Canis lupus familiaris: one gene and its partners. The protein of the gene in region 1 interacts with the protein of each later gene in a pairwise test. Links are inferred from orthologs where the notes say so. Each region holds a gene or a part of one and is shown in the gene's direction. Other genes may lie near its edges.

The links.
Region 2: the proteins of REL (region 1) and DHPS interact in binary tests that used the Homo sapiens proteins (3 or more experiments, as listed by UniProt). The two-hybrid records come from large-scale screens. The link is inferred for Canis lupus familiaris from reciprocal best matches to the Homo sapiens genes REL and DHPS.
Region 3: the proteins of REL (region 1) and CGGBP1 interact in binary tests that used the Homo sapiens proteins (3 or more experiments, as listed by UniProt). The link is inferred for Canis lupus familiaris from reciprocal best matches to the Homo sapiens genes REL and CGGBP1.
Region 4: the proteins of REL (region 1) and PIH1D2 interact in binary tests that used the Homo sapiens proteins (3 or more experiments, as listed by UniProt). The two-hybrid records come from large-scale screens. The link is inferred for Canis lupus familiaris from reciprocal best matches to the Homo sapiens genes REL and PIH1D2.
Region 5: the proteins of REL (region 1) and GLYCTK interact in binary tests that used the Homo sapiens proteins (3 or more experiments, as listed by UniProt). The two-hybrid records come from large-scale screens. The link is inferred for Canis lupus familiaris from reciprocal best matches to the Homo sapiens genes REL and GLYCTK.
Region 6: the proteins of REL (region 1) and OSTF1 interact in binary tests that used the Homo sapiens proteins (3 or more experiments, as listed by UniProt). The two-hybrid records come from large-scale screens. The link is inferred for Canis lupus familiaris from reciprocal best matches to the Homo sapiens genes REL and OSTF1.
Region 7: the proteins of REL (region 1) and ATPAF2 interact in binary tests that used the Homo sapiens proteins (3 or more experiments, as listed by UniProt). The two-hybrid records come from large-scale screens. The link is inferred for Canis lupus familiaris from reciprocal best matches to the Homo sapiens genes REL and ATPAF2.

The regions. Positions count from the first base shown.
Region 1 is NC_049231.1:62,276,094-62,280,307, forward strand, and holds the start of REL (proto-oncogene c-Rel), read left to right. Parts: upstream 1-1,414; 5' UTR 1,415-1,621; coding exon 1,622-1,631; intron 1,632-1,747; exon of another isoform or gene 1,748-1,877; intron 1,878-4,214. UniProt on the Homo sapiens protein: Proto-oncogene that may play a role in differentiation and lymphopoiesis.
Region 2 is NC_049241.1:49,833,014-49,837,291, forward strand, and holds the start of DHPS (deoxyhypusine synthase), read left to right. Parts: upstream 1-1,478; coding exon 1,479-1,685; exon of another isoform or gene 1,686-1,727; intron 1,728-1,785; exon of another isoform or gene 1,786-1,898; coding exon of another isoform or gene 1,899-1,938; intron 1,939-2,024; exon of another isoform or gene 2,025-2,159; intron 2,160-2,294; coding exon 2,295-2,459; intron 2,460-2,694; coding exon 2,695-2,816; intron 2,817-2,899; coding exon 2,900-2,996; intron 2,997-3,071; coding exon 3,072-3,158; intron 3,159-3,546; coding exon 3,547-3,652; intron 3,653-3,731; coding exon 3,732-3,835; coding exon of another isoform or gene 3,836-3,853; intron 3,854-4,278. UniProt on the Homo sapiens protein: Catalyzes the NAD-dependent oxidative cleavage of spermidine and the subsequent transfer of the butylamine moiety of spermidine to the epsilon-amino group of a critical lysine residue of the eIF-5A precursor protein to form the intermediate deoxyhypusine residue.
Region 3 is NC_049252.1:521,020-525,313, forward strand, and holds the start of CGGBP1 (CGG triplet repeat-binding protein 1), read left to right. Parts: upstream 1-1,494; 5' UTR 1,495-1,665; intron 1,666-1,945; exon of another isoform or gene 1,946-2,092; intron 2,093-2,254; 5' UTR 2,255-2,482; intron 2,483-4,294. Other genes in the region: ZNF654 (zinc finger protein 654), read right to left, coding at 976-1,164. UniProt on the Homo sapiens protein: Binds to nonmethylated 5'-d(CGG)(n)-3' trinucleotide repeats in the FMR1 promoter. May play a role in regulating FMR1 promoter.
Region 4 is NC_049226.1:21,090,454-21,094,607, forward strand, and holds the end of PIH1D2 (PIH1 domain-containing protein 2), read left to right. Parts: intron 1-859; coding exon 860-1,119; intron 1,120-3,195; coding exon 3,196-3,330; 3' UTR 3,331-3,654; downstream 3,655-4,154.
Region 5 is NC_049241.1:37,900,197-37,904,325, reverse strand, and holds the start of GLYCTK (glycerate kinase), read left to right. Parts: upstream 1-1,329; 5' UTR 1,330-1,463; intron 1,464-1,788; coding exon of another isoform or gene 1,789-1,949; exon of another isoform or gene 1,950-2,258; intron 2,259-4,129. Other genes in the region: WDR82 (WD repeat-containing protein 82), read right to left, coding at 1,789-1,949.
Region 6 is NC_049222.1:83,747,856-83,751,355, reverse strand, and holds part of OSTF1 (osteoclast-stimulating factor 1), read left to right. Parts: intron 1-384; coding exon 385-438; intron 439-3,253; coding exon 3,254-3,361; intron 3,362-3,500.
Region 7 is NC_049226.1:41,700,599-41,704,098, forward strand, and holds part of ATPAF2 (ATP synthase mitochondrial F1 complex assembly factor 2), read left to right. Parts: intron 1-2,183; coding exon 2,184-2,228; intron 2,229-2,491; coding exon 2,492-2,637; intron 2,638-3,500. UniProt on the Homo sapiens protein: Plays a role in the assembly of the F1 component of the mitochondrial ATP synthase (ATPase).

The DNA.
Region 1 (4,214 bases):
CTGCCGACCCCTTTCCCCGTGGGAGTCTATCCCCGTCCCCACCCCCTTCCCCGTGGGAATCTATCCCCCTCCCCCTTCCCCGTGGGAATCTATCGCCCTCCCCCTCCCCTTTCCCCGTGGGAGTCTATCCCCCTCCCCCCTTCCCCGTGGGAGTCTATCCCCTCCCCACCCCCTTCCCCGTGGGAGTCTATCCCCCTCCCCCCTTCCCCGTGGGAGTCTATCCCCTCCCCACCCCCTTCCCCGTGGGAGTCTATCCCCTCCCCACCCCCTTCCCCGTGGGAGTCTATCCCCCTCCCCCCTTCCCCGTGGGAGTCTATCCCCTCCCCACCCCCTTCCCCGTGGGAGTCTATCCCCTCCCCACCCCCTTCCCCGTGGGAGTCTATCCCCCCCCCCCCCCTTCCCCGTGGGAGTCTATCCCCTCCCCACCCCCTTCCCCGTGGGAGTCTATCCCCTCCCCACCCCCTTCCCCGTGGGAGTCTATCCCCCTCCCCCCCCTTCCCCGTGGGAGTCTATCCCCTCCCCACCCCCTTCCCCGTGGGAGTCTATCCCCTTCCCCGTGGGAGTCTATCCGTCAGATCCCGGACGGCGTCTCCTTCACCAAGCACAGCGCGTACGAGGCACCCAACTCGCAGGGCGGCTCTTCCAGAGCCTCAAGAGCTGCCGCAGGTGAAGCAGACAGAACCTCCGCCGGCGGAGGCAGAATGGGGGCGGGGGGCGATCCGGCGGCGGGGGTCCCCAAATGCAAATCTGCGCATCACAGAAGAACAGAGGCGACGCCGCGGCTTCCGCACTTCCCCGCCAGGGCTCACCGGGACGTCCGCGCGGCGCGGGGGCGGAGATTTGCATGTACGAAATTGGGAAGAGGGGGAACCACCCATTGAAAACCCCGGCCCGCCGCCCCCCCCCCCCCGCCTCGCGCCCGCTCTCCTCCCTCCCCGCGCCCCCCCGCGCCGCCGCCCCGGGAGAGCCGCCCCCCCCGCCGCCCGGCCCGCCCCCCCGCTCCCAGCGGCCGGCCCCCCGGCACGTCAGCGCACCCTCCCACCCGCTCCTGAACTTTAAGCCACGCGCCTCCGAACCACCTGGAGGAGGGGGATTTCTCCGCAGCCGGCGGCTTTCGCACGCTCGGGACCGTCACCGCCCGGCTCCCGGCGTCCCCCGCGCTCCCGAAGCTCCCGCCTCCCCCCGCGGCCCCGACCCAGTCGCGGAGCCCCCCGGGCCGCAGGGGGCGTGGCGGGGCGCGCGGAGGGGGCGGGGCGTGCGCGCGGCGGGCGGGCGGGGGGGCCGGGGGGGCCTACGTCAGTCGCGGGAAATTCCCCTCCCGCCGGGCGGCCTCAGCCTCCGGGCCGCGGCGGGCGCTCGGCTGTCGCGGCGCTCCGCCCCCTGCGCCTGGCTCCCGCACGCCGGACGGGCGCAGCCGGCGATCCCGGACGCGAGCGCTCAGGGGGTGGGAGGGTGTGAGCCGCAAAGCCCCGAGGAGGGCGGGAAGGAGGAGGAGGCCCCGGGGGTGGTCAGGGGCACCGGGGGGCCCGCCGGCAGAGTCCCTCGGCCGCCGGACCGACGCGGGCTGCTCGTGCGGCCTCGGGTCTGGACGCTTGGAGCGGGCGGCGCGGCGAGCGGAGCCATGGCCTCGGGTGAGTGTCCGCGGCGCGGGTCCGAGCTTTCGGGGCGGCGGGGGGCGCGGCGGTCTCGGGGCGCGCGGGCGCCCCTGCCCTTGGGTCGCCTCGGCCCGCGCGTCGTCGGCCTCGGGAGGGCGGCCCGGCTTGCGTGCGAGATGCGAGTCCCGGGCGGTGACCCGAGGCCGTTAGGATGCGTCCCGGCGCCCTGATGGTTTAGGGTCAGAGCAGTTACCGGGAACCTCACGCCGGGAGGACCGAGAGGTCACGTATTGCAAAATGGGTTTTTATTTGAATTGCTCAGGCTTTAGGTCTTAGAACAGGAGTGAAGACCTCAGGAGGGAGTGCTCTGCCTTTTCTTCTATTTCTTCTTTTCTTTTCTTTTTCCTTTTCTTTTCTTTTCTTTTTTCTTCTTCTTTCTTTTCTTTCTTTTCAATTTCATCAAGTGCCAGCCGGTGATCGCTGATGTGCTGACAGTGGCACCGAGTGGCACCGAGAGGCTCGGTTAGGAGCCCCCCCCGGGGGTGCCCTACCTGGTCCTAAAGGTTGTTTCAACCGAGTGGATGATTTCCACTTTAAAGCGGGTACTTTCTGGTTTACGGAGACGTTATCTTTTTTTTTTTTTTTTTTAATTTCTTCGTTGGAAGGCAGGGGAGTGTCCGGGCTTTCAAATAGGAGTTAGCAATGAAAACTTTGCATCACTCAGGTAACAATTTATTTTCCGTTTATAGATAGATGCGTAGATCTCTTGCTTTGGGGGCAGGGGGAGTGGACGACGAGTTTACCCAGAAAAAAAAAAGTTGGAGGGCAGAGGAGGGAGCCTCCTGTTATTGTTATTATTATTATTATTATATGATATGCAGCCGGGGTTTAGATCTGCCTGTAACCTAGAGGGAAGTAAATCCAGCGGGCTCTGCTCGAGGTGGCCTTGGAGAGGATTCTGGCAAGGTTCATGGGGCGGTTTCGAGGCAGGGAGGCCTTACAATAGAGCTCAGCGCTGGGCCAGGAGGCTGAAGGGGGGGGGCTTGTTTATGCTTCCTCCGCGCCCTCCCAAGACCCTGGCTTGGTGACCCTCGGAGGCTGGTGTCTGGAGAAGAGGAAGTAGAAAGCTTTTTTTTTTTTTTTTTTTTTTTTTAAAAGAAGATTGAGCAGAACAATGCCATTAGCTGCTGCTGCAGGCCGAAAAGGAAATTGGGGTGGTTCACATGACATTTGATTTCGGTTTGTCTGTGGTTTTTATGTGAGAATACAAGTTTAAAATATTTCAACTTTCTCTTTACCCACTTCAGTGACCCCAAACTTTCAGATAATTTTGTCAATTTATCATTTAAAAGCACGTTGAGATGAAGAGGGTGAAGAGGGCAAAGATGATCTGAGATATTTGGCTGATTTATTGGTTGACAGAGATTTTTTTTGTATGAGAGTCAGAGAGAACGGTGAGCATTATAAGTAAAAAAAAAAAGAAAAGAAAAGTCTGACTGCTGGCAAGTTAACCAAACTTCGTTAATATGTGGCACGAGTGTAATACCTGTGATTCTTTTAAAAGAACCATTTACATAGAGGGTAAGGTAAGACCCCCCCCACCCGCCCCCGCCCCCATCATTCAGCGATGTGATACAATTTAAATTTGTTGAATGGCACTGTATTTTGTGCTATTGTGAGGACTGATTTCCTAAATTGAAGGGGAAAGAATTTAAAGGAATGAAAAGTCGTAGGATCATTATCTTTTTTTTTTTCTTTCCTTTTCTGGAGTTGCATTAGAATGGGAGTATTTAATATGACAAGTTATTTAAATTGTAATTCAGTTGTATGAAAACTGCCAAAGAAATTTTAAAAAAGGAGTCTGGGTGTATTGTTTTTAATCACTTGTAAAGGCCTTAGAGAAAAAGACTCATCAGTAAATTATAAATTCTTTTCCTGTTTTGAAACAGTAGTTAAACCGAAAGAGTAATAGGAAAAAAACTTTGCTTAATTAGTTATCGTTGCCTAGCTTAGATTACTTGTAGTAAGGTAGTATTAAAACCTCAAAAAATATTTTTATTGATTACCAGGCACTTAAGACCATTTCTTCTTTTCTTACCGGATGTCATATGTAAATAGGTATGTGTAGCTGAATATGTTATCTGTAGAATGTAAAAGTTAACAGATCAGAGGCTCATTAGCAAAATTATTTAAGTATCATGAGTAACTGGAAATTTAATATATATGTGTGTATATATCATATGTATGTAAGTATGATTCTAAATTTTGTTTAGGTAAATTATCAAATTAATTATTTAGGGTTTCACAGACCGGGGTCTATTAAGCTCTCTTTACTGCCTTTTTTTTTTTTTTTTAACACTTTGATTTCTGTCTTTTGACACAATTAATTAGAACAGGTATTGTTAACAAAAATGTTCCCTGTCTCATGTAGGGAATGGGTAGGCAGTCATTACTCTATTATATTTATAATTCTGTATTGTTTAATGTAAGTAAAATTAGCTATTTTATGTCTGAATTAAAGCTCGTCCTTGTGCCAGTACAAAGTGCAAAGTGTTCTTAGGCACACATAGTTCTGTTTACTAATCAGTAGTACTGTCTTTGGTAAAATATGTTTTAAAA
Region 2 (4,278 bases), on another chromosome or scaffold:
AAGGTAGCCCAGCGTGGAGGCTGAGAGAATGGAGAGAAGCATCTGGATACAAATACCCAATCAGAATGTTGTACATCTAAAACTAATAGAATATGTTAATTTTATCTCAATAATAATAAAAAGGCACCTGGAATTGGGACCTATTTTGTGGGCAGAACTTGGCGGAGGTGCTGAGGGATGGGTGAGAACAAAGGAGAGAGGTCAAGCTCAGTTCTCCAGTGTTGGGTCTACTAGGTGCATGGAGGGCTTATTTGCTGAGTTGAGGGCTTTTTGATGAGATGTGGAAGACTGCAGGGAGATCAGCGTTAAGTGGAGTGGGAGCTGAGGTGGTGAGTTTGAGATCCAAGTGGGGACTGTCAAAAATGTCAGGGAGGATGTTCTCTTCCTCCAGTTAAGTGGGCTAATCTCTGACCTCAGGACTTTTGCACTGGCAGTTCTCTTTCCCATTGGGGGATGGTGGGGGAAAGGCCTCCCCAAATCTGCACATATGGGGCCTTTCTTGGCTTTCTGGCCTTGGCTCAAATGTCACCTCCTTGGTGTCCTTCCCTAACCACCTGTCCCTGCAAATAAGGCCATCAACCCCTTCAACCACCCCTACCTCAAAAACACATCATGTTTGAATCCTCAATAGCACTAATCACTATTGTGGTTAGCTTTACTAGCTCCCCAATCAAACTATGGACTCCAGGAGGGCAGGGTCTGCATCTTGTTCACTGATAAATCTGAGTCGCCAAACACAGAGCCCAACGTATGGTATAGACTCCATAAATTATAAAGTGCCTGGTTAAAAGATTCCCCCTGGACCAAACCCTATGCAGGGCTAGGAGGACCCATGAGATACAGACCTCACCTTCGAGGGTCTCACAGTCTTGCTGGAGGGAAAGAGAGGTCAGCCCTGGATCCCAGAGGAGGTCCCTTACCCAGAGGACGGTCAGGGAAGGCTTCCCAGAAGTGACGGCCGCAACTACCAGGGGAAGACCAGAGGGTTACGCAGCATGTGGAGGCTCTGGTACGGACAGCGATCACTACACCATTTGATGAGAGACGCTCAGGGCCAGAAATTATCTGACATTTCCTGATGACTCGAATCCTGTCCTAGGGCGACGTCTAAGAAGCCATCCTCCTTCCCAAAGGGACAGAAACGAATGGGAAAGCGCCGCGCAACGCGGTGGGTCTCCAGCAGGCGGCAGTGAAAGCAGGACTCTTCATTCATCTCGGGCTGACAAGACGCGAAACAGGCAATAACGGCTCCTCGCGGCTTCCATATTACGGAAACGCATGCGCAAACATGGCCGCGCCCTGGATTGTGGGGCTCAAAGAGTCACGTGACTGAGCAACTTCCCGTCCCCTTCTGCAGGTTTTCCAGAGCCCTACTTCCTGCACTGTCATATAGAAGCGCGTGCCGGGGCTTAGTGCGTTTCGAGGCCGCTGGAGGCCTGGTCTGGGCGGCTGTGATCTGAGAGTGCGGCCGCGGGAGCATGGAGGGTCTTCCGGAAGGGAAGGCACCCGCGGCGGCGCTGGCCGCTGTGCTGAAGCATAGCTCGGCGCTGCCCTCCGAGAGCTCCCAAGTCCGAGGCTACGACTTCAGCCGCGGCGTGGACTACCGTGCGCTACTGGAGGCCTTCGGCACCACTGGCTTCCAGGCCACCAACTTCGGGCGCGCAGTGCAGCAAGTCAACGCCATGGTGAAGCCTGGGGCGGAACTTCCTGGGTTGAGGGGGTGTGGCCTCCAGTAGCGGCAATGCGGTACTGGGGGGCGGGGCTCCCTTGAGAAGGAGGCGTGCCCTTTGTCGGGCGGCCCAATAGGTGGAGAGAGGCAGGGTCCATTCTGGGCAGCGGTTTCCGTGCTGGGGAGAGGACCTTGTGCCTCCCCATCTCCATAGCATCCTACCATCAGGATGAGGTTGGGACTGATGCTAGATAGGAGGCGGGTTGTAGGTAAGGAGTGAAGTGTTCTGAACGGTGCGGTTGAGGAGGAGCCTCAGTCAGGGCGGGGTCTGGGCTCAGATTTGCTTTTTCCAAAGGGGAAAGTGACCAGGCCTGCAGAGGTAGTGCTCTCCAGTTCCTTGAAAGGGGAATAAAACCTGAGCGCGTGCCTTGAGATTTGGGCGGTGAATGGGGCCGAGCCTGCGCAGGGGGCGTTCGTTCCTTGGCTTCAGGTATTCCAAGTAGAAGTGTTTCCTTATTCCTGAGTGGGCAGGCCCCGGGGCTGGAGTCTGATCCTGAAACCCACTTGGAGCCCTCGGGCTAGAGTTTGGGGCCAGAGGGTAACTTGACTCTGCCCTTACACCTAGATAGAGAAGAAACTAGAGCCGCTGTCGCAGGATGAAGACCAGCATGCAGACCTGACCCAGAGCCGCCGCCCACTTACTGGCTGCACCATTTTTCTGGGCTACACATCCAATCTCATCAGTTCAGGCATCCGTGAGACCATCCGTTACCTCGTGCAGCACAACATGGTGGGTACCTGGCGGGGTTGTGGACTTGGCCTCTCTAGGTCTTATGGGCAATAAAAATTATTGGCCACTTAAATGACAGGGAGACAGGATTGTTTTAAGCGGAGGAACAGGATCTACTTTTATTTTGCAGTAGAGATTTTCCCAAGGGTCACTGGATTAGTGTTGGGAATGAGGAGCCCTACCTGGCATGACGGCAGGGCCCCTCTTCCTGGGCCAACCTGATTTGTGGCTGCAGGTGGACGTCTTAGTGACCACAGCTGGCGGTGTGGAGGAAGATTTTATCAAGTGCCTGGCACCCACGTACCTGGGCGATTTCAGTCTCAGGGGGAAGGAGCTACGTGAGAACGGGATCAACAGGTTCGGGGCCCTGAGTGATGCTGGGCAAGGGAGCTGGGCTGAGGATCCTGGGGCCCGATGCCCACATGCCTCATGTTCCGCAGGATTGGAAACCTACTGGTGCCCAATGACAATTACTGCAAGTTTGAGGACTGGTTGATGCCCATTCTGGACCAAATGGTGCTGGAGCAGAACACAGAGGTGGGGCAGGAGCACCCTGGGGGTCGGTGTGGAACTGAGGCGGCCCTGCTGGCTGAAGTCAATGTCTCCTCCTAGGGTGTGAAGTGGACACCTTCCAAGATGATTGCCCGACTGGGCAAGGAGATCAACAACCCAGAATCAGTGTATTACTGGGCCCAGAAGGTGAGGGACTAGGTAGGGCAAGGGTACCAGGCCTTGGCACATGTTAGCTTGTTTCACCTTCATAGCCACCTGGAGAACCATTTCATCATCTCCACTCTTAGGTGAGGAAGCCAACACAGATGTTAGTTTGTCTGACGCTGCGGTCCAGCAGTGGGAGTAATGAGAGCTACCATTCTCCACTGGTTTTGTCTGGTTTCATCACATATGCTTCATCTGTGATGGAGATGCTGTTGCAGTCTCCATTTTACAGTTGAAGAAGCTAAGGCCTAGAGAACTTAGTAAGCATCCTGCCTAGAATCAGGCAGAGAGGAGGGGATGCCACTGGGATGGGGGCCAGTCTGCCTCTGCTGGGCTCTGAGCTTGTTGCTCTCATCTTGCTGTTCCCTAGAACCACATCCCCGTGTTGAGCCCAGCGCTCACAGATGGCTCCTTGGGCGACATGATCTTCTTCCATTCCTACAAGAACCCAGGCCTGGTCCTGGACATTGTTGAGGGTGAGGTGCTAGGGCCACAGAGGAGCAGGGGAGGTAGGGTGGCTGTGTCCACTGCCTGACCACAATGCTCTTCTCCCAGACCTGCGACTCATCAACACACAGGCCATCTTTGCCAAGCGCACTGGGATGATCATCCTGGGCGGGGGTGTGGTCAAGCACCACATCGCCAATGCCAACCTCATGGTGAGTGGGGACACAGTAGCCGGTTCCTAGTGAGGGTGGCACTCGGGCTTGCCATACAGACCTGTGCTAAGCCTACGCCATGTGCCAGGGCAACAACTGTAGACTAGATAGGCCAGGATCCCTGTCCTCCTGGACTGATGTTCTAGTCAGGGAGATAGGTGGCAAGCAAGTGATGTGCATGTCACGGGGCAGTTAGCTGCTGTGGGAAAAAAAATGAGGGATGACAAGTGCAAGAGAAAAAGAAAGGAGTGCTGTTCAGAAAAGGGAAGTTCTGGGAAAGACAGCCTGTAAACAGAAAACAGCCAGTGCAAAGGCTCTGAGGTGCCTGAATTAAATCAAGGGACAGTTAGCAGGCCAGTGAAGGGGACCGAGACAATTAGCAGCAGGAGCCTGGCCTCTAGGGCTGCCAGTTGGGTGCTTATAGGTGCACCCTGGCCTCTATA
Region 3 (4,294 bases), on another chromosome or scaffold:
CAAAAGTGTTGTGTTGTGAATGAGAACGAAATGTTTAAACTATAAATACATGTAGATGTGAATGTAAATTACAAGAATTTTACACCTAGACAAGCACTTTGTTGCCATAATATTTGATCATATTCAGATTCTAAAGTACATAAATCGTAGTGGCAGACGACCAAGTAAATAATTTACAGTCACCGTTCGGACGCTGCAGTTTACAGGCTGCGTAAAATACATTGTAATTTAAAACATGGAAGGGGGTGGTGAGGTCACCAGAGCAGCACTTTAGGGAAAACTACTTTCTCTATCAGCAGTTCATTAGAAAAGAGAGTACATGTGTCGGGAAAGCAGCGCAAGAGAAGGAAAAATGACAATCACACTGCCATAACCTCCACCTCCCGACAAAGTAACTAACAGTGGGTCAGCTCCTAAGCCACCTGGAGAACGGGCCCAGTGGGATCCCGAGAGGGGATGACAGGAGACCCTAAGCAGAGGGGGAGGGGTGGCGATGACAGGAGAGGGGGCGGTAGAGAGATGGCATGCCACCCATCTCCGAAAAAGGGGAGAATACGGGGGGCAAGGGGCGGAGGAGGGAAGGCAGGAAATGCTGCCGGAGATTCCAAACGAAGTGAGAAGGAACAGGGTAGGAAACCCAATAAGGCGGGACCCTCGGGCGGAAAGGGGTCTATTCGGAGCAGAGGAGGAATGTCAGTACACAGCTTTCCTGCCAGCTGACCCTTCTTCTCGCCACCTCTCCACCCCTGACAAACTCTCACTTTCTAGCAACCCTAAACCCGCGGGTCATCCCAGCCCCGCTCCCTGCCCCCCACCCCAAGCCGGATAGGTGGAGAAGGGATCTTCACTCTCTCTCCCGGTTGGGCTCCGGGAGCGAACACCGGACACAGCCCTGATTCGAGAACGAGAAGGCCAGGAGACGCAGGGAGGCCCAGGACCCGGGTGACAAGTCCAGGCGGCCGACGGGCGCCTCACCTGACAGAAGCGTCGGCAGTAATCCCGACTGCTGATCCCAAAGCCGCCGACCCCGCAGCTGCCGCCGCCAGCGCCACCTCTGCCGTCGCCCGCAGCTCTAAACCCGACAGGGCCTGGCGGGGACTCCACAATGGCCACGAGCTCTTCTCCGAGGCGTTCGGCCTCTTGATCGCTCTCTTCCTCCGCCATGAGGCTCTCGCCGCCCAGCGCGTACCAGCCCCTACGCCGCCGCCGCTGTAGCTGCCTCGGCTAACCTCCTCCTCCTCTCGTTCCCTCCCCCTTCCCTCCGCCCCAGCCGGACAGGCCTCTCGGCGGTCTCTACTTCCGGCTCCGCCCACCCACGCCCCCAGTTCTCATTGGAGAAGTCTGGCCGCCAATCACACACATGCCCGCCCTTCAACTCCCATTGGCCAAATTAACCGTCTGTTTGAGAGACTCTCGGTCCGTTGGTCAGCGCTGCTCGGCGGTTGCTGGGGCCCGCCTACGAGCTTTGCAGTAGGCGGTGCAAGAGGACGGGGCGCGGCGGGGGACACGGCGGCCGCCGCGGGGCTAGATCGGGCGGCGGCGGCGGCGGCGGCGGCGGCGACGGGTCTTCCGCCTCCCTTACCCCCGTGCTCCTTTTTTCTTCCTCCTCCTTTCCTTTCCGGCCGGGTCTCATCCACTTCCCCTGACGGCGGCCCCGATCCTACGGTACCGAGGAGCTAGGGAGAACGAGGGTGGGCCCGGCCGTTGGTGCGGGGTTTGGGCCCGGGGCCTTCGGTCCTGAAGCGGGAGCCGGGGGCGGGGCCGGGGCGCCGTTGTCGGCGGGAGGAAGAGGGAGGAGACGGGAAGCCTGACAGCAGACGCCTCCGCCGGGCGCCTGCCGCCTCCTCTCCTGAGACTGCCGCCAACTCTGCTGTCGAGTTCGCGGGCCCGCGGCTCGGTCCCGGCCTCATCCGGCTGGCGGCCCGGGGTTGTGGGCGCCAGGGTGCTGAGCTCGGCGCGGGGGAGGGAGTCCAGACGCCGGGGACGCCCCGCGCCCCGCCTTTCTCCCCCGCCCCCGACCCTGGGGCCTGGGTCGCGCGAGGAGGTGCCAAGGGGGGCGGGCAACTAAGAGGACTGCTTGGACCGCGTTGAGGTAAACGTTGGGATCCGGATGGGTGGTGTGGAGTCCACCTGAAGAGAGCGGTTTTAAGGACACCTCCGTGGTGGCCGCGTCGTTCTTGTTCGTCTTTTTATCTCCCCTTCTTTCCCTCCCCTCCCCCATATTTTCTTTCCATTTGTTTTTCATGTTTTACAGTAAAGGCATGACTTCCCGGCACCGCAGGGAAAATAGGGTGCAAGCCCAGGAACTATTTCCCCATCACCACTTGTTGAAAAACTGATTTGAAGGCGGCTCCGGATTTGAACAAACCAAAGTGCCAGGATTTCAAGCGTCTCTGGTTGTACTCTGGAGACCCTTCACTGCTAAATATCAAGACGAAAAAAACGGGAAACTGATCGGGTAAACATTTAAACTTGAAAACTTGTGAGTTTGATTTCGGTCTAGTAAATTTGCAGCTTCTCTTTTGTTGGCTAATTCCTGCGCTTAACTTCCTCGTTTAAAATATCTTTACAATCTGTTGAAAACACTTTTGTTATTCGGGTCTCTGTAAAGCCGAGCATCCTCTACTGGGTGGATATTTCCCTCTGCGGTAACACAAACAGATTTTTGAAAGTTACAGGCAGTGGAATGTATATAGGCCTTTCACATTAGCACAAATGATAGAGCATTTTACGCTTCAGAGAATACTGATCATGTTTATTTTAAAGTTGGAAATCCAAATTTTAAAAGACAGAAGACTGTCACATCACAAGATTTAGGCGTTCCTAAGCACAGATATTTAATGTTTTTATAACTAGGTTAGAACAAAATTAATCATAATTTTGACTGATTTGTTAGAGGAGTAAAAAATACATACCACTGACTTAAAGTACAAACATATGTAATGGTAACTGATTTGGGGGCAGGAATCATATCTGTCTTCTCTGCCATTGAAAACCTATAGCCTAACACAATATTTGGCACGTGAGAGTCGAACATTGAATAATTTGTTAATTGGAAGAAGATACAGTTAAATGTATTAAAACCTAAACTTTATCATACTTTCCAGAATTTCTCTGAAACGTTATGTCTTGTCTCTTGAGTTTATGTCCATGGGTTTCTAACGCATTGGCAATTTAGCATTCTTTTGAGAGAGAATTCCTATAACCCAACAATAAATTATCTAATATAGATTAAGGGAATACTCCCTTATTGCTGGTTACACTTTTAAAGGATAGTTATTCAGAATGCACTTAAGAATTTTTGTCTAACGTGTTTATAGAGAACAGAATTCCATCTTGAATTCTATCAAATTCATTTTAATTTCTTATATTTGGGTTAACGTAAGAGCTTAGCCCAAAGGCATGGCTCTAGAGAACGAATGGTTGTCACTGACAACATTTGTTCTTTATCTCAGGTTTTCAGTGTCCGTAATGTAACGTCATAATTTTGGCAAAGATCATAAAAATGTTTTTAGGGTAAATTGAGAAATTATTAAGCTGCTTCTGAGTTAAATACTTGGAAAAATAACAAAAAAAATCATTTACTTATTCCGTCAACAAATGGATTTATAGACTTATATACTAGGCACTATGTTACCTTCTTAGATTTGTTCTAACTTACCAAATGAAATAATATAAGTGAAATAAATAATTAACAAATGCATTCATCTTTAAGGGAAAAAAAGAGGGAACAGGGGTTAGAAAAAGCACTTTGCATATCTTGATCATCTTTAGAAAACTCGGTAGACATATATGTACATTAAAAAATTATTTACTTTGAGCTCTGTATCTTGGCTTTACCATTTTATGTCATTGTTGCTGCTGTTAATTGCAGTTGGTCTGTGTTCTTTTTCAGTTTTTGCTTTTTTTCTTCTCAGAACAATTTTGGACATTATACCCATCTTCATATAGAATTAGGGCAATTTATTGGCCCACCTGTTTGAGCAATTTTTGAACATAATTTCCTATAATTGTGTTCCTAAAATCAGTTGCCCAGAACTGTGAAGGTAAAAAAGAGTCTTTTAAACTTCAATACACATCTAAATTGGATGAGACTAATATAATTAATACCCGGGATCCCTGGGTGGCGCAGCGGTTTGGCGCCTGCCTTTGGCCCAGGGCGCGATCCTGGAGACCCGGGATCGAATCCCACGTTGGGCTCCCGGTGCATGGAGCCTGCTTCTCCCTCTGCCTGTGTCTCTGCCCCTCTCTCTCTCTCTCTCTCTCTCTCTCTCTCTCTGTGTGTGTGACTATC
Region 4 (4,154 bases), on another chromosome or scaffold:
TGTACATTTTGCAAACCAAAAATCTTGATTTTAAAAGATGAGAAACTTAAGATAGAAAAATATAAAGATTAGATGTTAGAAATATTAACATGTCCTTAAACATTTTTAAATCCTGCAAACTTTTTAACCCAGCTCTTTAAGATTATTTAAGATTTTATTTATTTGGGGGGGTGCAGAGGGAGAGAGAGGAGACAGAGAGAGAATCTCAAGCAGACTCCCCACTGAGCATAGAGCCCAACTCGGGGCTCAATCTCACAACCCTGAGATCACGACCTGAATGAAATCAAGAGTCGGATGCTTTGGGGGATCCCTGGGTGGCTCAGCAGTTGAGCATCTGCCTTCAGCCCAGGGTGTGATCCTGGAGTCTCAGGATCAAGTCCCACATTGGGCCCCCCGCATGAAGCCTGCTTCTCTCTCTGCCTGTATCTCTGCCTCTGTGTGTCTCTCATGAATAAATAAATAAAATATTTTTTAAAATAAAAAAAAAAGAGTCAGATGCTTAACTGACTGATCTACCCAGGTGCCCTGGGTTTAAGATTTTTTTGTTTAAGGTTTTATCCATTCATGAGAGACAGAGAGAGAGGCAGAGACATAGGTAGAGGGAGAAGCAGGCTCCCCACCAGGAGCCCAATGCAGGACTCGATCCCAGGACTCCAGGATCATGCCCTGAGCCAAAGGCAGATGCTCAACCACTGAGCCACGCAGGCATCCCAAGATTCTTTTAAGATTCCTAAATGAATTTAGTTTCAGTTTTATTTGCCATTTTGGCTAACACCACATCTATTACAGTTCATAGCCTGATAATATTTTATGTTGTTGATTAATCTTATGATTTAATCTCACCCTTTTTTTCTATAAGAACTAACCTTTGAAGAGATAAGTAGTACTCTGAGCAATCCAGATCACTTTCAACTTTTATTGCCAAAAGGCGAAGTTTCAAGCAAAAAAAGATGTCTGATTGAGGAGATTTCCAGTACAGAGATCCAGGTAGAGATGAAGGAACCAACCTATGAATTAAAAATTGTGGCTGACCAGAAGGAGAAACCTCAGAAAATTGAAATAAAAGTTGAATTACCTGGTATTAATTCAGTGTCTCTCTGTGACCTTAGTGTTTCTGAGGTAAGTCGAATAAGTAATACCATAAATTGTATCAGTCAACACAATATATTATGCTGTAGTAACAAACTCCACAATCTCAGTGGTTTATACCAGTTTGCTCAGGTTACATGTCAGGTAGACCTGCTCTGTTCCAGGATTCTTGCACATTTTAAGATACAGGTGGAGGAGGAATTCCCATTTGAGATATGCCATTCTCATGGAAGAGGAAAACAAATGGCCAAGCCATGCAATAGATCCTAAACTTTCTCTCAGACATAGTATATGTCACTTTTACTCACATTCTGTTGTCTAAAGCTAAGGCATAAGGCTAAATCCTCCATCAATAGGGCTGGGAAGAATATTCTTTTTTTTAAATATTTATTTATTTATTTATTTATTTATTTATTATTATTTATTTATTTATTTATGATAGACATAGGGAGAGAGAGAGGCCGAGGAGGAGGGAGAAGCAGGCTCCATGCCAGGAGCCCGATGTGGGACTCGATCCTGGGACTCCAGGATCGCGCCCTGGGCCAAAGGCAGGCGCCAAACCGCTGAGCCACCCAGGGATCCCCTGGGAAGAATATTCTTACAGGTAGTCATTGACTTCAAATGGCAGGAATGTATACCCCTCTAACACAAAAAGAACAAAATATTGGCAAAAGTCCTAGAATCTGCCACAGTCCACTCTCAAGATGACAAAAATTTGCTTCTTTCTCCAAGAAAGTTACCCCTAATCCCAGTATCAGACTCTAAACTATAGGATTTTGCCATTGTAATCTGCATTCTCCTCCTGAACACAGACCTATGAGCTGAAAAGACAAGTAATCTACTGCCATAGCCCCATGCACCATACAATTTGGAATGGAGAGAGGATAACCATAATTAACAGTCTCAGTTTGGAAATGGGGAAAATATGAGGCTTACTGGTGCACAGCAATTCTGAAATCCTGATAGGCAGATACTATGAGGGTATCTCTCCTGCAGGTAGAGGATGTTCTTGATTAGGTTCCACTACAAGATTCCTTGATTACCTAGCCCCCTAGTTCCATTGTTTTCCAAGACTTTCAGCTTCATTCTTTGGATGGTGTTTCCCTTTTTCTGACTCACACTGGCCACGTCGGAAAAGAACATTGGAGGGTATACCACCATTACATGCTGAGCAGTTTACTCTGTTAAATGTTTTGGGAATGATGGGCATAGAAAGGTCATTTTAAATGTTTTAGTCTAGGCTGGTAGTGTTTTATTTGATTCCGATCAGTGCCACTCCCCATAATTCTTTATTAGACATGTTCATTCATTTTTCAGTTCCCTTTTTTTTTTTCTTAATTGCTGTCTTGTGAGCCAAATGTAAGGATTAACTGAGCTCCACCTTAAGCCAGTGAGAGGTTTTAACAAAGAGTGTAATATATGATGTGTGATTCAATCTTTACTGCTAGGCTGTCTTCATCAGTCTTTGTTGCTATGAAATAATTTTATTTTTTACTGGGCTAAAATAAAAATTAGTTCCATTTCTCAGTCCTGATGTCTTAGAATTTCTGGGCTCTGTATTCTTTAAATACTACTTGCAAAAAAAAAATACTACTTGCAAACTGGGAAATTGTTTTCTAAGCTCGTCTCTTTTTGTAGTAGTTTATTAAATGTAGTCAATGGAAACAATGCATGCAACCAACATTCTATTTTCACACTTCTTTACCTCAAGCCACAAATTAACAAGGTACGTCTTTTAAATTACTGTGATAAAACTATCAGTTTTACGAAGGGTTTTATCACTATAAAACGCAGATCACCATTTTTCCTATTGTCAGTAAATTTTCCTCACTGTTTGCTGGTCAGCCACAAAGTCAATGCCACATAACCTAGGATGGCAACACCCAACTTATGGCACTGTATCAGTTAACTTTTGATGTATTGAGCAGCAATAACAAAAAAACTCAAAACCTCGGGGAGTTTACAACAGCAACTGTACAGCTCATTGCAAGTCACATGGCAGTAAGTGGGATCCTCCTCTTATGGAAAAGGAGTGAATAACTGGGAATGACACAATAACACATATTTTAACCAGGAAATACTTTCTCTTTTCATCTTTTAAAATAGGATGATTTATTGATTGAGGTCTCTGAGAAGTACAGATTACATCTGAATCTTCCGGAATCTGTGAATACTGAAATGACTACAGCCAAATTTATCAAAGAGAAAGCTACATTAATCATCACAATGCCATTGGTATAAGTCAAGAGCATCATCTGCTTTGGGTTTTCAGTGCTGACTAAAGACATGTGAATAATAGGACCTTCATTATGGGTGACATTATGGGTGAAGAAGTAATGGTTTACCTGAAACATTAGTATTTTCTAAGAGTTCTTTTTGATGGAATGAGATTTTCTCATCAACTTATGTTTGTCTTTTTTTCCTTCTTCTCAAACTTGGCTAGAAGCAGAAACTATTAAAATAGTATTGCCATGATAGATGGTTTTGAAGCCATTTCTCTTAAAATAACAAATTGTCATTTGGGAAAATTCTTTGTGTTTCCAAGTAAATTGTGAAAATTCTTGATTTACTGGTTGAAATTCTGGTTTACTTGGTTGTCAGTAGCAAAGTTTTACATCAGGAATAAATCCCACACTGTACATGTGAAGCAATGAAAGTTTCCTCTGGCTATACAGTTACAGGGCCAATGTAATTCTATGCAAACATATGCTTCTATGAAACAGCTCTGGTGGGAGGAGTCCAAGCTACCCAGACAGATCTTTTAATATTAAATATGGACTTGTCGAGCAGCCCTGGTGGCTTAGCAGTTTAGCGCCTGCCTTCAGTCCAAGGTGTGATCCTGGAGGCCCGGGATCAAGTCCCATGTCCCGGCATGGAGCCTGCTTCTCCTTCTGCCTGTGTCTCTGCCTTCTCTCTCTGTGTCTCTCATGAATAAATGGATAAAATCTAAATAAATAAATAAATAAATAAATATCAGTCTGTGAGCTGGATACAGTGATGCAGTAACAGTAACTAGACTGCTTATTGCTCCTAAGTAACTTATTGCTCAGAAGATGCAAAATACA
Region 5 (4,129 bases), on another chromosome or scaffold:
ACATTTTACTTTTTTTTTTTTTTTTTTTTGGCATTTTACTTTTAACAAGACAGGACTTCCAAGTCATTGTCATTGCTTCCAACGAGTAGATATTATGCCACATTTGAAGACAACTAAGAAATGCTGTCACATGTCACAACCTTTATTTTCTTTGAATGAGAATATACATCTCCATCCTCAGGTTCCAGGAAGAGGTTCTAATCTGTGCACAAGCACTAAACATTAAGTCAGCCAGCTTCAAATTACTTTTAGCTTCAGAATCCAGCAACCCTGACACTCACTGCAGACTTATATGTTACTCTCTTCCAAGCTGATTCAAGTGGCCAGACCTGAACAGAAATCCATCTACTAAATGAATAATGGTCCAGCTAACAATTCTCTCTTTCCCCAGGACCACCACTTAGGCCAGTCTTCCATATACTGCAGGCAGATCCAGAACCAGTTACATAATACTTTTTCACAGCTCTCGTGGGGAAAAAAACTGGGGAGAAGATACAGCTTAAATCAAACCAGCATTACTTTAGATAACCAAATTCACAAATGAAGAGATAAGTTCCAAACGAAAGTTTATAGAAGGCACTGGTTTTAAAACAAAATAAAAGGCAAAAGGAAAGTGGGAGAATAGAAAACCTCAAGGACTCAAAAACTAAGATCTGCAACCAGGTAACAAAATGAAATCTGACAAAACCAGTAGCCACTGAATTAAACCAAATACCTGGAAACCTACTTGGGGAAGGTGGCTGAGGAAAGTAAAATCTAGCCTAAACCAGTTTCTGCTCCAAAGGAGCTCACAATTTAACAAGGAGAGAGCAAAGCAGGTCTACAAAGGGTAGGTGAAGCTGACAAGATGCCCAGAGAAAAGGGCAAAATGTGCTTTTAAGACTTTACAGAGATGGGGTGCAATGGATCTCCAGAGGACTTGGGGCAACACAAATTTCAGACCCTTAAAAAGTGTAATTTTTAAAAAAGTGTCTAAGAGGAAACATGAAATTGTTAGATTAGAATGTATTCTTTGTTTTCATAGCAGGTTCCCACTCAGGTCGGGATGGGACGGCCAAGTTCGTTTTTTTCCTGACAAAAAGGAAAAGTTTCTGATGTTGTTAAAAAGTTAACTACCACTAACTACATTAGTTAACTAAACGTGGGCATCGGGTCTGAGGGAGTAAGAGAATGATTTGGAACAGAAAGGAAAAGACAGGAGGCCCAAAGAGGCACAACAAATAAATCCTGACAGCTAAGAACTACGACCCACGCGGCCTTCCGGCAGAAGGCCGCGGGAAGCTGAGGGGCAGGGGATGGGCGGAGTGCCAGGGCTGAATCGAGGTCACCGAGGAGGGCAGAGCGAGCTGTGACGCTGCCGACTGAGGCAGGAGAGCAGCCTCTGCGGTTCTGCGCGGGGGTCGGAGCTGACCGGCACCTTTGACAGAGTCGGAGGAGCGGAAAAGCTGCCTGCCGGGGCCGAGGTGGGCGGACCGGGCGTTTAAAGGTCAAGGTCAAGGTGGGGTTTGGAGAGCGAGGCAGTAGCGTTTTTCCAGGAGGCCGAAGTCATACGAAATGATAAGGATATTATTTACCACTCTCATTTTTAAAAGAAAAGTAAAGGTCTCCCGGGCGGCTTCGGAGTGGAAGCGGCCCTGACAGCAGCGAGTGCAAAACAGGCCGGGGGAGGGCGGCGGGGCCGGGGGAGGGGACGGACAGCGGGATGAGCGCTGGGCCAAGAGAAGGAGGGAGGGAGGAACGGGCCGACGACACGCTCGGGCTCGGGCCCAGGGCCACCGCCGCACTCACTTGCCCTCCTGGCAGTCGTAGAGCACGATCGAGTCGTCGTCGCTGCTCGAGATGACCGTCTCGCCGTTGGGGCTGAAGTCGAAGCAGTTAATCTTGTCCGAGTTCTCGCGAAACACCTTGGCGACGCGGAAACTCCGCAGCACGCTGTCGGTCAGCTTCATGGCGGCGGCGGCTGGAGGAGGCGGCGGCGGCGGCGGCGGCGGCGCAGGGCTGGGGCGGGGCCCGGCGGCGAGCGGGCGGGCGGACTGACTGCCTGCCGAGGGGCCGACCCGGGCGGGGCGGGCGCCGCGCCGGCGGCGAGCGTAAGGGCAGCCGACAGTCGGCCCACCTCCTCCCCTTCCTCCTCCTGCACGTGCGACGCTCTTCGGGCCAGACTGCGGGGGCTCGCGGACCGTTCCTCCTCACGGTCGCCTCAGGGCCAACCGGCGCGACGCCGGCTCATTGTGTCCGCCATCTTGGGACGACAGGCAGAAGCCGAGGGCGAGGAGCCTTACCGCGGCGCACGCCGGGAAAGGGGGCGGGGCGGAGCGGGGGCGCGAGGCGGGCCGGTGGGGCGGTGACGTCAGTGCGGCCGCCCAGGAGCGGAGTGGAGTGGCGGGGTGCCCGAAGGCGGCGATTCTCTGGCGCGCAGTGGGGCCCGAGGGGCGCGGTTGTCCACCGCCTTCCCGCTGGGCCCGGAGGCAGCTGTGCCTGGGAGCCGTGAGCCTTTGCGCAGGATCGCAGTCCCCCTTAGAGGCTCCCCCTTCCCCAGGATCGCAGCCCCCCCTAGAGGCTCCCCCTTCCGCAGGCCACGGGGAGCAGGTACTGCGGGGGTCGGCTGCGCCACTGGAGGCCTGTTCTGGGGGTGAGTCAGTGGACCTATGGCTGGCGGGCTCTGACTGCTCGTGCACTACAGCGCCAGCATAGTTTCAGTTTCAGGTGGGTTGTTTGGTTTGGTTTGGTTTGGTTTTGTTTTGAGGTGTAATATACAGTAGCCTGCACAAAGTTTAAGTGCTTTTTTTAAAAATTTGGATATATACCTGTGTGACTCCTACCCAGAAGTTTTCTTTAAGCCTTCCTTAAAAACTTTTTAATTGACACATAACATGAAGTGCATAAAGTGAACGGATTTTAAGTGTACAGCTCCACACACTTGTAAGCACTTTTTAAGACATTTATAGCCTCAGAACTCATAGCATCAATTGCATGGAAATTTTTTAAATGGAGTTTTATCTCCTTATTCAACAAAATACAATTTTAAGTTCTCCAGATTTCCTCCTTTTTCGCATCTCTACGTGAACTTTATAAGTGCAACCATCTTTTTTTTCCTAGGTCAGTATTATATATTAAACATTTTTCCATGTTAGTAAACCGAATTGGCGGTGGTGTTCTTAATCGAGGTATCATTTATGTGCAGTAAAAAAAAAAACTGGCCTTTTAGGGACATCTAGGTGGCTCAGCAGTTGAGCGTCTGCCTTGGGCTCAGGGCGTGACCCCAAAGTTCCAGGATAAAGTCCCACATCGGGCTCCCTGCTTGGAGCCTGCTTCTCCCTCTCCCTCTGCCTAGGTCTCTCTGCCTCCCTTTCTCTGTGTCTCTCAAGAATAAATAAATAATCTTAAACAAACAAACAACCCTGACCTTTTAAATGGATAGATTTATAAGTTTTGACACCCATATTGAGTTGTGCAACCACCACCACATTCAAGATATAAAACAGTTACATAACCCTCTTTGTAGTCAATGGGGTTGTCTCAGTGGTTTGTTTAAGGATTCATTGCCTTAAAAGGAAGGAAAATTGGTCTCTAACAAAGGAAAGTGATATCTGATCACAAAAAAAGGTACCAGGCACCTTGGCTTTAACTTTCTATGCAAGGGGTCAAACTCAGTGCAACCTATGGGAGTTCATAGATCTCTAACTTGTGGGCAACTCTTCAAAGACTAATTGCCTGGGGTCTTTAACAATGGAGACAGGCCTGTTTATTTTGCTTCACTAAACTGCAGTGGCTAAAGAGGAAGAAAAAGGAAGAGGAAAGACTTAAACATTAAAATCAGCTGTATTAGGAAGATGTGATATTCAGAGATCCAAGTATAACCTGAATAATGAATGGTAAAAAACAAAACAGAAACCCTGGGACAGATGAGTCTTTCTAGAAAGAACTAAAGGATGTCCCTGGGTAAAGGGAGAGCCAGGATCCCTACACATAAAGAGAAGTTGTTCTTTGAAGGGAGTGGGCAAGATCCTGGCTAAGTCTCGGCTGCGACTGCCTCCTGACAAAGAGCAGAACTTCTGGCTACAGCGTGTTCTGGGATCTGGCAAAAGCCTGTTTGAGCGTAACCCAAATGTATGGCAACTTTCCAAAC
Region 6 (3,500 bases), on another chromosome or scaffold:
TGTAAAAATGAGCATCAAATGTTTTCTTTTGCATTTTTGTGACTAAGTTTATGACACACTTGGCTGTACCGGTATGTAGGCCATGGATGTTTGTTTTTGCTTATACTTCCAGTTAATTACTGCGTTTGGTTTTTGTTTATACTTCCAGTTCATTGCTGTGGTGTTGCCTTATTGCTTAGCTTGGTTTTCTTTCGCAAATAATTCAGCTCCTTTTAAAGCAGAAAACGTTAGTTTGATTTTCTTCTATTTTCTCGGATCCACTTAAAAGGGATGCTCTGTGACGGGAGGCCCTGGCACCCTGGGAGCCGGGGACCGCGGAGTGGCTGCAGCGGGTCCTTCGGGTCCTTCTCAACATCGGGTTCGCTCTTTTTGTTTTCAATCTAGTGGCCGAGCAGGCGGAATCCATCGACAATCCATTGCATGAAGCTGCAAAAAGAGGTAGGTGTGGTTGTGTTTCATTGAGGGACACAGTGGAGTTGAGCACACAGATTCTGATTACACAGTTTGATGACTTTTGATCCGTGTATATATATACCCACGTAGCGGACACCGCAATCAAGATCTAGCACATTTCTGTCGTCCCAGGAAGTTCCCATTTCCTGGTAAACACCCCCGCCTGAGAGGCAGTCTCTCTCTCTCTTTTTTTTTTTTATTGGAGTTTGATTTGCCAACATACAGCATAATACCCAATGCTCATCCCGTCAAGTGCCCCCCTCAGTGCCTGTCACCCACTCACCCCAACCCCCCACCCACCTCCCCTTCTACCACCCCTTGTTCGTTTCCCAGAGTTAGGAGTCTGAGAGGCAATCTCTATTCTGCCTTCTATCACCCTAGAGAGATAAAATGTTATTTAAAAAATTGGGGGGTGGGGAGCACCCGGGTGGCTCAGCGGTTGAGCATCTGCTTGAGCTCAGGGTCGTGATCCGGGGTTCTGGGATTGAGTGTGCATCAGGCTCCCGGCAGGGAGCCTGCCTCCCCCTCTGCCTGTGTCTCTGCCTCTCTGTGTGTGTCTCATGAATGAATAAATAAAATATTTTTAAAAAATAAAATTAAAAAAAATTTCCTTCAGTAATCTCAACACAGTGTGGGTCTTGAAAGCACAACCCTGAGATCAAGAGTCAGTCCAATGAGCCAGCGAGGCCATACCCCCATGATTTTCATTTTTTTTAAAAAAGATTTTACTTTATTTATTTATTTATTTATTTATTTATTTATTTATTTATTTATTTATTATTTATGATAGTCACACAGAATGAGAGAGAGAGAGAGAGGCAGAGACATAGGCAGAGGGAGAAGCAGGCTCCATGCACCGGGCGCCCGACGTGGGATTCGATCCCGGGTCTCCAGGATCGCACCCTGGGCCAAAGGCAGGCGCCAAACCGCTGCGCCACCCAGGGATTCCTAAAGATTTTATTTATTCATGAGAAACAGAGAGAGAGAGAGAGAGAGAGAGAGAGAGAGAAAGAGGCAGAGATACAGGCAAAGTGAGAAACAGGCTTCATGCAGGGAGCCCGACGTGGGACTCACCCATGGTCTCCAGGATCACACCCTGGATTGAAGGCGGCACTAAACTGCTGAGCCACCCGGGCTGCCCTGATTTTCATTTTTGAAATGTCAGCCACCAACACTTTTGAGTTCTCTACTTAACCCGTGCTCAGTGGCAGGTGGAAAGGTGCTGTCTGTGACTCCCCGAGCTCCAAGTCTGGTGGGGGAGAGATGTGTGTAACAGATCATTACAGGATGGTGTCAGAAGAACAGCAACTGAAGTATATTTAAGTTAAGCAGGCTGTAGAGGCCGCAATGAGGAACTGGAAGGCAGGCGGGTGGAGGCTTCTTGTGGTTGTAGCATTTAGGAGACTGTTGTAGTAATGCAAGTGAGTGGGGTGCGGGTGAAACTGTGGAGGGAGAGAGCAACAGGGACCGGCCTTGTACATGGGACTTTATCCTGTACATTAGTGGTTTTCCACTGGGGGTAATTCCTCCTTCAAACCCTCGGATATTTGGCAATGCCTGGAGACACTTTGACTGTCATGACTTGGGGATGCTACTGGCACCTTTTGGGTTGTAAATGCTGGGGACATACAATGGTACCCAGGTCTGCCCCGCAACAAAGAATTCTCCAGCCCTGCTGCTGCCAGTAGGGCTGCTGTTGAGAAACCCTACTATGGACACAGGGAGTTTTTATAAGGCCTCAAGGAGGTTTCTTTCATTCTATTCCAGATCTTTTTGAAACATGAATGTGCAAAAGGAAACTACTGGTTGAGAATTGTGCATAAGTAGAACTACTAAGCTGACATTTAAAAAACTAATATTTTTCTGTATGTTAAATAACTGGAATTTAAATAAAGACTTGAAACTAAAAAGCAAAGTGATTTGTGAACTAGATATTTAGACATTAGCCAGAGGGTTTTAAATTGGTAGTTATATTTTAACATATGAGGAGGTTATTTAGTGTTTATTTCCTTATTTTCTTATAAGATCTGAGAATACATTTTAATATGAAAATGAGTAGTATCTACCTGTTCTTAGGTTTGACTCTTTTTTCCCTAATTTCCAGGATTTCACAAAGGAAAAAGTTCCATGTATGTGCATTTTACAGAGTAAGACAACCATAAGTAGGCTCATTTAGGCAACTCTTCCCTTTAACTGACCGTTAGAGACTGATGTTGTACAAGCCACAGAGCTTACTTGTATCTCGTCAGTGACATACACAGTGATCAGCTGTATGTGGGCCAGGCCGTGGATACCATAGACTGAATGTTTCCGTCTGCTCAAGGTTCAGATGTTGAAAGCTAACCCCAGATCAGTGGTGTTTGGAGGTGATTAGCTTATGAGGGCTCTGCCCTCATGAATAGAACCAGTAAAGACCCGGGAGAGCTCTCCTGCTCTTTCTGTCCAGGGGGTGGAAACAGTGTCTGTGAACTGGGAAGCAGGCTCTTACCAGACATTGAATCTTGCTGGCGCCTTGATTCTGGACTTGCCAGAACTGTGACAAATAATTCTTCCCCTCCACCGGCCTCCTCCACCCCCACTTCAAGTTGTTGTTAATGCTTTTCATTAATAAACTGGAAGTGAAAATGTACCATAATGAATGCATTATTGGGTAGGTCTTAATTTCAGACTTGCTGACTAATCCATTCTAGATGGAAATTTATGGAGGGTGAAATTGATTTAAAAGCAAAACCAAAACAACAACAACAAAAAAAACCCAAGCCCTTTTTCTTGTGTTCTTATAAATGCATGATGTTTTCAGGCAACCTGAGCTGGTTGAGAGAATGTCTGGACAACCGAGTCGGCGTTAATGGCTTAGACAAAGCTGGAAGTACTGCCCTGTACTGGGCCTGCCATGGGGGGCATAAAGGTACTGCCTTCTGTTTGCTATCTCATCAGTGTCCACGCTACTGAAAATGTGCTTCACGCAGAGGAGCTGGAGTTACGGAAATGAAAAAAAATTATTCTGCTTAAATCCTTTAGAACATTGTCCAAAAGCCTGGTTCCTG
Region 7 (3,500 bases), on another chromosome or scaffold:
ATGTGGGCCTGCCCTCTTCTGGGGCCCTGTAACTTTTGTGCTCCTTTGGCCTGGGGCTTCCTCTCTTTCTGCATGGTTTACTGCTGTTTTGAGCAATTTTGGTTGACCCATCCTTTCCCTTCTATCTTTCCCACTCTCTTCCAGTTCTTTCTTCTTAATTTTTTAAAAGATTTTATCTATTTATTTGAGAGAGTGCACGAGGTGGGGGGGCAAAGGGAGAGGCGGGGAGCTGGAAGCCCAACACAGGGCCTGATTCCAGAACCCCGAGATCATGACCTCAGCCGAAGGTAGACACTTAACTGACTGAGCCACCCAGGTGCCCCTCGGTATTTTCTTCTTAATCAGACACAGAGGGGGACCTGGCCAGGACAGAGGAACCAAGGCCTGGCCAGCAAAGCAGAGGAAAGAAAAAAAAAACCTTCCTCGTGGGAAACTTCACTGCTCTGGCATCTTTAGGTTCAGCCTGTGCTGTCAGTTTCTGCCCTGAGACCAGGTCTCTTGGGCCCATTTCCCAGGGCTGCTTCGAGCTATGTGCTAGAATGCTCTCCACTGGCACTTCCTGCTGATGGGAGCAGATCCTTCCCCCAGTGATGATGAGTCAGCTTTCAGAGCTCTTCCCACTTCCTGCTTTAGACCTGTTGCCCAGTTCACGCATTGGAGAACATACTGGATGTCGTCTAAGTGCCTCAGTCAAGGCCTCCAGACAGACCCAAGAGGCCTCCAGATGTGAACTAGGGGCATTCGAAAGCACCAGGGTGGCATAGTTTCCATTTTGATGTCAAATGTGTGAATCACTATTACAATTTCAGATAAAGGTAGTAACTCACACTATAATAATACAGCATCATCTTGGTGGCCAGATCCTATCACCTTTTTAAGTATTTAAACTCCATAAAGACAGCAATTTTTGTCATTTTTATTCACTGTTTTATCCCATGTACCTAGAATGGTACCTGGCACATGGTAGACATGCAACTTTTTTGTCAAAAAGCACTTTGGGCCTTCGTTGAGTAAAGCACAGCTGTGGAAATGGAATTTGTGGTCCTCTTTGTGAGAGCATCAATGACAGAGCATGAGATCGGTGAAAAAAACTGATGTGATGTGGAAAACCTAAAAATACCACGTTTGGAGACCAGACGCCCTCCCTCCACCAGCCTTCCCCCCACACACAAACAAAGTTCTCCTGATTTTCATAGTCTGCTTGAATTAATTTTAACTTAAGCTTGGTTTTTGTTCTTTGGGCTTTTTTTAAAGCATTAAAAATGAATAAATCTCCTCTTCCTCCTCCTCCTCATGTTGCATCATTATTTCCAACAAGTAACTTTCAATCAGGGACTCTGAAGGCTTTTAGTACCCAGTGAATATGTGACAGAACAACAAGTGAATGAGTCAAGGTTTTGTGTTCATCACAAATGTTATAACTGGGTTATGGTCTTTAGCTTTCAAAATGTGACCTGTTCTTTATAATTATGACCTGCATAATTCTTAATGAGGCACTCTCAGTGTTAAGCCCTCCAAGTAGAAGAGGGGGAATTTGTTTCCATTTTCATTTAAGGTTTTAGTCAGGGTATTTTCAGATATCACAGGACACATATTTTCCCCTTAAAGGAAATGTTTGGAGTTCCTGCTGAATACACAGGCATGCTGGCTAATTAGGGTAATTAATTGGATAGAGAGGATGAGAGATGCTCCTGGGATCTCTGCTTACCTCCTGTATGCCACACACGTGTACACGCATGTCCACACTGGCTTTATCACATTCAGACACTATCTTTGAACTGGCATATGTTGTACTGGCGTGGGGGCAGTGCTGATGGGGGTGGTATGGGTGGGGAGCCTGCTTAGAAGTTAATGCAGAAGATGCTAGAAAAATCTGTTGTGTCAGATGGCCTGCAGCTTCCAGATGCTTTGCGATCAGACTGTGCCTGGGCTCCGGGGCCAACGGGAGCATGACCAGTGTGTCCCAGGCCCCCCTCATCCCTGGAGAGCAAATGCCCTCCTCCTCTCAGCTTTAATCAGGAGCTGCTGCTGATGTTGCGTAGAGCAGGGCAGACCTTGAATAGTGATATGAAAATCAAGCCAATCAATCAGCATTAGCAGTAATGACACAAGCTGGTCTTGTCATTTCCTGAGCTGTCTCGATGTTATTTTAAAACTGCCTTTTTGAAAAATCTCTTTTACAGAAAGGAAGAGGTTTTATCAGAATGTCAGCATCACACAGGGTGAAGGTGAGTGTCTGAAATTTTGACTGCCTCTTTTTCTTTCTTTCTTTTTTTTTTTTTATTCTGTGAATGGATAGAAACATTTTTCATCTCTAGCCAGTTTCAGCGGTGAGATTACCCTTCGTGCTTTTGTTGGATGGGTTTCTGTAAGCCCTCCATGAAGGGACTCACAGTTGTCTTTGTCTGTACCCATTCAAGTAGCTAAATATAGGAATGGTCACTCGATTCCACTTAACAATCCCTGAGAGGTTTTCATCTGATCTTTCAAGGTGGCTTTGAGATAAACCTGGACCACAGGAAGCTGAAAACTCCCCAAGCCAAGCTCTTTACTGTCCCCAGCGAGGCCCTGGCCATTGCAGTGGCCACTGAATGGGACTCCCAGCAGGACACCATCAAGTTCTACACCATGCACCTGGTAACAAGTTCATGAACCTATACCCCGATGCCTGCCGCTGGCTTCCTAGGGTACCTGGCAAAAATTGCAACTCCTTTCCAAATTCAGATAAGGCCCTCGGGGGTGGACTCCTGCCATACTTGCCTCCTTGAACATGCTGTCCATTCCGCTCCTGGCTTGGCCCCCATAGTTCCCCTGCTCAGAACGCCATACTGGATGGCTGGTTCCTCCTCTGGTCTCAGGATAGGTGTCACCTTCCCTGTCCGCCTAGCTCTCTTATTTTCTTTTATGACACCTGTTCATTTGTTTTGCCAGCACTTATGCAATTTGTATTTGTCCATTTTATGCTTGCACGCTCATAGTCTGTCTCTTCCACCACCCTGTGAGCACAGAAGGGCAGGGCCACATCTCTCTTGCTAGTCCATAGCCGGCCCTGGCCCGAGGTTCAGATGGCATGCAGTATTCGTTGAGTGCAGGAACCCACGGGGCCAGGTGGGTGAGGTGAGACAGCTGCCCTTGAAGCTGGTGCCCCATCCCACATACAGGTGGCTCACTGAGGCACTGAAGCAGGCCGGGGAAGGGGCTGGCTAAACTCTTCGGGTCCAGGCTCTGCAGGCTCCAGACTGTCACCTTCTCAGTCCCGTGTCTCCATCTGCGAGAGGTGAGCACGGTGGTCAGGATGGGATAATGTGATGCCTGGAAAGTCTTTGGCGTGGTTCTTGGCATAGAGCTAGCACTCAGTCAACCCTGGAAACGGAGTTGTCGTCCTGGTCATTCCTGTGCTTGGCCTTGACATACAGACCCAGGCGGATGTCCTCAGCGTCTTCATACCTTGCCACCGGGCTAGCCTGCTCCTTTGGCTGTCTGATGAAATTAGCGTGACA